2 linked regions of the Cricetulus griseus genome follow. The protein of the gene in region 1 interacts with the protein of each later gene in a biochemical or structural test. Links are inferred from orthologs where the notes say so. Each region holds a gene or a part of one and is shown on either strand. Other genes may lie near its edges.

Region 1 (4,252 bases):
TATGTTCTGCAAGCATCCCACCAACTGACCTACAACTGCAGCTTTCAGAAGCACTTACTTCCAGAGAGTTTTTATTAGAGAATTATTCGACTAGTTCAAACATTCGTGTTACATATGTTATTTATTCCAAGAGATTTGAAATTCAACATGTTTTAGTTAACTCTTGAAAGGACTTCATTTATTCAATATTGGTGGCCACTAAGTCATGAATGGGAAGTAGGTGGGTGACACAGGAGAGGACACAAGGCCTCAGAGCCTCCACCACAGCCTAAGCAGAAGCAACACCAATAATTTTTAGAGGCAGGGCTTCTCTGTCACCACCGCCTGGCTAAGAATTTTTTCTTTTTTAGTTTTTGAGACAAGGCCTCACTGTGTAGCCCTGACTGTCCTGGGACTCGTTCTGTACACCAGGCTGGGCTCAAACTCTCAGAGATCCACCTGCCTCTGCCTCCCAAGTGCTGGGATTAAAGGCGTGCGTTACATACTTGACAAACACTTTTTTAAAAAAATAATTTATTTAAATTCATTTTTTGTGCATTGGTGTTCATCTCCTGAAACTGGAGTTGTAGACAGTTGTGAGCTGCCATGTGGGTGCTGGGAATTAATTGAACTCAGGTTCTCTGGAAGAGCAGCCAATGCTCTTAACCACTGAGCCATCTCTCCAGCCCCCTGACAAACATTTCTTAAGCAGACAAAAACGCACATTTTTCTTTGATGCTCGTGGAAAAAATACACGCCATCGTTTGTCCCCAGCTATTGCCATTCCGGATCTCACAGGCTCGCAGTCCATAAACTCTGGAAGGGTGGGATGGCTGATGGGGCGGGCATTTTTTTCTTGGACGTCCGACGTCACTGGAGGGAACCTGTGACGTCTGGCCGTGAGCGACGGCGGCGCGACGGTGAAGGCCAGTCCCCGGGCTGTCGCGCCGCTCCCAGGCCGGCTTCTGTGGCGCGGCGAGAGCCGAAGAGCCGTTAAGAAGCGCCCAGCTCGCGTCACGCACACCTTCGCAAACCTACGCCGACGCGCTTCCTCGAGGCCCCGCCCACTCCCCCCCCCCGCAGTTCGGGGGCGGGCTGGAGGAGGCGGGGCCCAGGAGGAGCAAGCGCATGCGCTCTCGCGATCCGGCCGCTGAAGGGTGGGGGGAGGGAGAGGACTAGCGATCTCGCGAGGGTTGAGAGCGGGTGGCGTAGGCGGCTGTCCCGGTGGTTGGAGAAGAGAACCTACGCGGGGCGAGGAGAAGGCGCCCGGACGCCGCGCAGAACCTTTCGCTTTCCTTTCCCCTGCCCTCAGCCCTCGGTCTCCCCGGAGTCAGCCCGCCCTCCCTGACCTCCGTGACCCCGCTGGCCCCGCCCACCCTCGTCGACGTGATTCCCGCCGTGAAGTCAACGCCGGCGGAGTGGAGCGGAGCCGGGTCCCGCGGAAGAGGAGGTCGGGGCGAGCTCCGCGGCAGGGCCGGCTCGGGTCGGTGGCGGAGCCGCCGCGCGTGAGAACTTCCGGCCGGGGCTCGCTCCTCGGTCGGCCCGGGCGCCAGAGTCGAGCAGGCAGGCCGGCCGGCCCAGGCCGCTTCGCTTCCCTCCGCGCCGCGCCTGCCCGTGGCCGCGGCGGGTGACGCAGCCGGAACATGTCGTCGTCGTCGGCGGCCGAGCCTCCGCCGCCCCCGCCTCCCGAGAGCGCGCCTCCCAAGGCCGCGGCCGCGGGCGCCGGCGGGAGCAGCAGCAGCAGCAGCGGCGGCGGCGGCAACAAAGGCGGCCCCGAGGCCGTGGCGGCGCCTGCGGCTCCATCGTGTGCGGGGGGCGCGGGCCCCGCGGACGCCGACATGGAGGTGAGCACGGCGGGCGGGCGTGCGCGCAGGGAGGGAAGGAGGGAGGGAGATGGATGCTCGCTTGCCCGCTCGCTGGCGCTGAGTCTGCCTCCCTCACCTCTGCGTTTCCCTCCGCGTAGTAGCCTAGGCGGCTCGCCGACCGCTCTTAGGAAACACATGTTCCTGATTACCGTGGTCGAGGGACCCGGTTTCCCCCAGCGTTAGACGCCCTCAGAAGGGCTCTGTTTCCCCCGGATCTGGGTTTTAGTTTGCACTAAACTTTGGGGAAGGGCGAGGGAGCTGGCCCCTTCGCCGTGGAATTCACGGGGCGAGCGCGACGTTTGTCAGCGTCGCACGCAGCCGGGGACTTTGGGCCTCCAGTGCCCCATCCCGGTGCTGGCGGGGGCGGCATCTGTCTGTCGTGGGCAGAAACAATGGCGAGAGCTGGAGGGCCGAATGCGCAGTGGGGATGAGCGGGGCGCAGCTGCCTCTGCAGCAAGGGGAGGCCCCTCCCGAGCCCCGCTCTACCGGGAGGAGAGCGAGCGAGCGAGCCAGCGTGACAGCCGCAGCACCTGTCCCGGATCCCCATCTAATTAGGGGTTGGTGGACGGACGGATGAATGAATGAATGGGAGCATCGGGGGAGGGCGGTGGGCTACTAGCCCAGCGAATTACCTCCTGTTAAAGCCATTCAGACAATTCGCCGTTGAACCACCATCTGGGACTCGAGTGGGCCAGATGATGATGACAATGCTGGAAATGGGGGAGAGGGTGGAAAAATGGGGGAGTTGCCAGACAGGTCTCTTGGATATGCTCCCAGGCTTTGAGTTGCCTGGGAACAAAGATACTGCTTCTAGTTTTTATTCTTGGCCTTGGACTTGTTTTGTGCTGTTCTATAGTTCAGTCTGAGAATTTCTGCACTTATATTGGAATAATACTCTAAAGATGAACCTTGCTGCAGAATTTACACTATAAGGAAATGATGGTGCAGTTGCATCACTTGGATGAAATAATGTGTTGCTAGTCTTTGAAATCACTTTTAGTGTGTGTGGGGGGTGTTAGTGTAGTGCATCAATTTGAAGTGAAGTTTCATTTTAAAATGTATTTGATGCCAGGCAGTGGTGGGCACACCTTTGATCCCAGCACTCCGAAGGCAGAGGCGAGCGGATTTCTGAGTTCGAGGCCAGCCCGGTTTACAGAGTGAATTCCAGTACAGCCAGGGCTACAAAGAGAAACCCTATCTACAAAAACAAAAAATGTATTTATGCCCCTTAAATAAGATTTTAAGTGGTCTTTTGAACTTGTAGAGTTGTTTAACTGGATTGTTGGATTTCTGCTTGAAGTCTGGACACCAAAAACATTGAAGGAAATTATTTGTAAATGTACAATTCACCCCAGAGAGATGCACTTGCTTGCCTAAGCTTTGCAGATTCTGCTCTGCGGTAACTTGAGTCACACATTTCCACAATAGGTGTCATTTCTATTTACAAGTCCTAAAGAGAACTTAAAACCCAAATGAAATTAATTTTTGAGTTTCTGTCTTTCAATTAAAATTTAAATATAGGCATGAATAAGATAACACCTACGATATGAAATAAGTGGTATTTTCGTTCATCAGAGGAGAAAACTGCGTCTTCTGGATAGAGCATGTGACAGAAGTGTGATCTGTTTCCATAATAAGCCTTTTCCACACATCTTGGCCTGTCATTTTTTTAAGTTTGACGATTTTACATATTGAAAAATATCAATAGTTTGTTTTTCTCAGTCGTATTCACTCATTTTCTTTTCTATTAATGTTGTAGTTAATTTTATTGTCTTTTTAAGACTATTACCTTCAGTCTGCTTTCCACTGTGTTAGCTGAATGTAGAATTAGAATTAAGTTTGAGTTTTGGACACTTGCCTAATGTATCTGATGACCTTAAGTAGTTTTTGCAGTTAGAAAAAGAAGACACTAAATTATGAAAGTAATGTCTGCAGTTGGAAAGCACATATTATTGTAGGGTGTGCTTTACCTCTAATGTGTGCTGACAGGGATTTTGTAAGTTAAACTAGGTTGGAGGTTTTGTATTTCCTTGTAGCATTTAAATGTCAGGACGAATGCATTTTTTTTTTGTTTTGTTTTGTTTTGTTTTGTTTTTCGAGACAGGGTTTCTCTGTGTAGCTTTGAAGCCTATCTTGGCACTTGCTCTGGAGACCAGGCTGGCCTCAAACTCACAGAGACCGGCCTGCCTCTGCCTCCCGAGTGCTGGGATTAAAGGCGTTTTTTTTTAGATTTTATCTATCTATTATGTATATATATAATATATATATATTATATATATTAATTATGTATAGATAGTTAACAGTCTTCTGCCTGCATGCCAGCAGAGGGCACCAGATCTCATTCAAGGTGGTTGTGAGCCACCATGTGATTGCCGGGAATTGAACTCAGGACCTCTGGAAGAACAGTC
Region 2 (4,304 bases), on another chromosome or scaffold:
AGACCATTCATCATTCTACCTGCCTTGGTAGGTTGAGGTTTTTGTTTGTTTGGTTTTTTTTTTTTCTCCCAATAGAGAAATATGTCTTTGTAATTACGTCTCCATGAAAAGTAGGAAAACAAGTCTTGGAACATGTTGTAAGAAAAAAGAGAGGAAGACACACATACACACACACACACACTCACAGAGGGGGGGGCGAGAGAAAACATTAGTTTCTCATGAAGAATTTTTTCTGTACTTGATATGAAAATTATATACCTTAAAACACTATTGAAAATGTAAAATCCTGTAATGACTTTAATGGGGAATATGTACGAAGAATCACTTAATGAATTAAAAAATACAACTTTAACATGGGTTGTTTTTTTTTTAATGAGAACGAGAATATGATGCATTCTTACAATCCGATGCTTCTCGCCCTTTCAGTACCGGAGCATTCCAAACTGAGCCCCGAAGTTTCATCAGGCGTCTCTCGATATCGGCAGCATTGCAGCTGTCCTAATAAAATAGTTGGCATTAAAAAAAAAGATTTAGATAAAGTTTATCTTTAATACGATTATCTCAAGTTGTGAGGGGAATAAGATTAAAGATGGACATCGGTAAATTTACATGCAGCAAAACTGGAAGAAAATCTCCACTGAGTTCCGAGCCAAAAAGAAAAAAAAAAAAAAAAGTGAAGGATTCAAGTGTCAGTCCGAGATTCCGCGGGATACAAGCAGATTCCAAATAGTGCTCTGTTCTGCACCTCTAGGGACAATGCAGAGAGAGAGAAAATGCTCCGAGGCTTTGGCCACGCCCACCTTTGCCCAAGGGGTCACGCCCACCTAGCCCAAGGGGTCACGCCCACCTAGCCCAAGGGTCACGCCCACCTCCTCCGGCGAGGCCACGCCCATCTCGGCCGTCGGAGTGTGGTCCCACAGGCTCAGTCTATGCCTTCACCTTCCATGCTAGGCACCATGCCCCCCCGTTGCCTAGCAGCGGCGCAGGGCACGATGGGAGAATAGACGGAAACCTCAGAGAGCCAAATTTAGTTTCGAAGGAAAGCTCCAGCGATACTGACAGTGCGTGGTAAAGAAACGAGCCTGGAGAGGAATGTCGAGGATACCGTGGAGGCTAACGGAAACCTCAGTGAGCCGAAACCATTGCGACTTGGAAAACTTGGCTACGCCGGCGACTTGAGGCGGGGTCTTGTGCAGAAGGGAAGCTGTGGTGCGCAAAGCACTGTGGGACACCCGGCAACGTGGGGTGGGAAGGAAGCCTCCGAGGGTCAGATCTTAGCGACGCGGGAAGTCCAGACACCAGAACTGTCTGAAGAGGAGGCCTGAGGCGGAGAAGGCTCGGGCTCCAGCGGAGGCAATGGCGGAGAGGCCCGAGGACCTAAATCTGCCCAACGCCGTCATTACTAGGATCATCAAGGAAGCGGTGAGCTGCTCGGGCTGGCGAATGGGTCGAGGGCGGACGAGTGGGCAGAAGGTTAACTAGATCCGCGTGTGTGTTTATCTCCACTCTCGCAGCTCCCGGACGGCGTCAACATCTCCAAGGAGGCCCGGAGCGCCATCTCCCGCGCCGCCAGCGTCTTCGTTCTGTATGCCACATCCTGGTGAGCCGAGCAGGGAGGGAGGCCCTGCGAGATCCTGACCCCGAGTTCATGGCCCCATTAATTGTTCCCCGACTCAGTAGATAGAGCGACTCACAGCTCCCCTCCAGTCCTCGCAAATTCTGAAGCAGGTGAAACAAGAAGGTTGCCGTATCCCTTTGTACGGAGAAGGAATGGACTGAGTCGTGTTACAAAAACCTATGACTCTAAGATAGATGTGGGTTTTCCCACCCCGCCTCTTTGGTGTCTCTTTTCCCCACCCACTCTGACAGCTCCTGAAGGGCTTTGCTTTTTCTTCCAGTGCGAACAACTTCGCAATGAAAGGGAAGCGAAAGACTCTGAATGCCAGTGATGTGCTGTCAGCCATGGAAGAGATGGAGTTCCAGCGGTTCATTTCACCATTGAAAGAAGCCCTAGAAGGTATTCACTCGCTCTTCAGTTTCTTAAGCCACACGGAAGCTGGTCATCCTTCGTTCCCTGATCACCTGATCTTAGTAATCCAATATTGGTCATGATTCAGCTCTGTTTAGTTGGTACCATCTCAGATACATGATGTGGGCCTGGTTGTTCTTCCTGTGGCTCAGTTTGTCTAATTAAACAATAATCTCCTTCTTTACAGCTTACAGGCGGGAGCAGAAAGGCAAGAAGGAAGCTTCCGAGCAAAAGAAGAAGGACAAAGACAAAAAGACAGATTCCGAAGAGCAGGACAAGAGCAGGGAGGAAGATGATGAAGATGAAGAAAGACTAGAAGAGGAAGAGCAGAATGAAGAGGAGGAAGTAGACAACTGAGTCGAGAGAATGGGCACTCTGCGGCACCATGGGAGTGACCAACCTCCCTGAGATGTTTTTATGCGAAGCCTTTCCCTGCAAGGCAGAGCCATCTTCGGCACAGGTGCCTAAGATCAGAATAAAAACTGACCAGAATGATCAAAACCAGCTCTTGCCAGGCTGAGGGCATCAGAGTAACAGAAACCTGTTTTGCTGAATCAGTCTGGAGGTTGTGACTTTTTAGTATAAGGGATTCTGACTGACTAAATAGTTTGATGTCATTTGTTTACTTAAGTATGTGGCTAGCTAGTTTTTGATCCCATTTCCCTGACCCTCCAAAAAAGTAATAACTTCCATGTTGCTTGCCTGCTGTGTTCTGGATCACAGAAGCACTCAAGGCTCAGGGGGAGGAAATGGGGCTTTGATCATGGTCACCCTGTTTGATTGTACAGTATCTGGCAATAGGTATTAATGGTCAGAATGGTTGCGCTTTAGGAAATGACTAAAAGGCTGTGAGAGAATAAGGTAATCTCTTCACTGGATGGTAGCATTACTTGTTTGTTTTGTTTTCTAGACTTAATTAGCCTGTAGCCCTTCTTTGTTGACTATAGATGTTCAGTCTTCTGGGGTGGCTGCACTCCTACACATACACTCTTAAATTCTCAGTGTTGATTAAATTCTGTCCAAAAAGGGTGTCAATTCTTAAAAACAGGTGACTTAATCTTAGGGTAACTCAGTGCCTGCCACTGTAGGATTTAGTGCTACCTCCTGGAAGGTATAAAATCCCAGGTTTTCTCTTGCTTAGTCCATCTCCCTGACTTGCAGCTGCTGCTTTTCATTCCTTGAACTCTTGACAAGTTCCAGATGTTATTTCCTCTAGGCATAGCCTTTTCCCTCTCCATCTCCTGCCTCTGCTTCCCAGCCCCTCTTTCTCCTTTTCTTAATTCATCTTCCAGTCTAGGAACTTTGGTAACCCATGTAGTGTCGCACAGTGCCAGTTCCTCAGATTCCTTAGTCCTACTCTCCTGAAACGCCTCTGAACCTTAAGGTAAATGTAACGGTGCTCAGGAATCTAGCAGCACAGCCACCACTGCTGTGGCTTTTGAAGTGTCTGTTGGCCTTTCCTTTCTCCCCATTTAGTGCTCCAAGCACCCTTTTTTTTTTTTTTTTTTTTTTTTTTTTTTTTGGTCTTAGTTGAGCACTTGAGGTTGAAAAGTAATGTAATATAGTTGGATACTGTTAGCTAGTTGAGTGAATACAATGAAGAGTTTATTGAAAGTGATGAGACTGTTGAGAAGATTTTAATGCTTTTTACAAATAAAGAACATTCTTGTTTAAAATGGTGACTCATAACAGTGTACTTTCAGAAAGAACCTCTCTCTCTCTCTCTCTCTCTCTCTCTCTCTCTCTCTCTCACACACACACACACACACACACACACACACTCAATCTGCATCTCCTTGGCTCACCAGCAGGTGAGTGAGCATTCACAACTAACGACACTGCTCTTAACCACAGCCAACATTTTCTGAAATTCTCTTGGTTACTGTGTATATCTCACTGGCTCTCACTTCTTAAGCTCTTCCTGTGTCTAGCATTGTTCTAAGTGCTTTCAGGTGTTATTCTTAACTCCTATCAAGCAGCATTGCTGTTACCTCGGTTAGCTCCTAACCACAGCTCTATATTTACTCTCTAAAAGACATTGTTAAGTCATAAGTCAAATTTATAAATCAGATTTCACAAAGAACCCCAATGGTCATTTGATATCCTTTCTTAATTCGCATGAGCACCATGCTAGACCTAGCCTTCAAGTACCATTTGGACTCCCATGACTTCCTTTGAGCTCAGTATCACATGTACACTACTTAGCAAATAGATCTTCCTGGAACATAGCTTTGTTTTCTGAGATCAAATCCATAGTTAAACCTGTTATTCAAGG

Evidence for each region.
Region 2: the proteins of Smarca5 (region 1) and Pole3 form a complex in vitro, tested with the Homo sapiens proteins (2 studies listed by BioGRID). The link is inferred for Cricetulus griseus from reciprocal best matches to the Homo sapiens genes SMARCA5 and POLE3.

The regions. Positions count from the first base shown.
Region 1 is NC_048596.1:156,511,435-156,515,686, reverse strand, and holds the start of Smarca5 (SWI/SNF-related matrix-associated actin-dependent regulator of chromatin subfamily A member 5), read left to right. Parts: upstream 1-1,212; 5' UTR 1,213-1,622; coding exon 1,623-1,823; intron 1,824-4,252. UniProt on the Homo sapiens protein: ATPase that possesses intrinsic ATP-dependent nucleosome-remodeling activity.
Region 2 is NC_048595.1:83,345,160-83,349,463, forward strand, and holds Pole3 (DNA polymerase epsilon subunit 3), read left to right. Parts: upstream 1-1,206; 5' UTR 1,207-1,356; coding exon 1,357-1,422; intron 1,423-1,514; coding exon 1,515-1,600; intron 1,601-1,898; coding exon 1,899-2,017; intron 2,018-2,216; coding exon 2,217-2,386; 3' UTR 2,387-3,709; downstream 3,710-4,304. Other genes in the region: CUNH9orf43 (uncharacterized protein C9orf43 homolog), read right to left, coding at 402-498, 870-893. UniProt on the Homo sapiens protein: Accessory component of the DNA polymerase epsilon complex. Participates in DNA repair and in chromosomal DNA replication.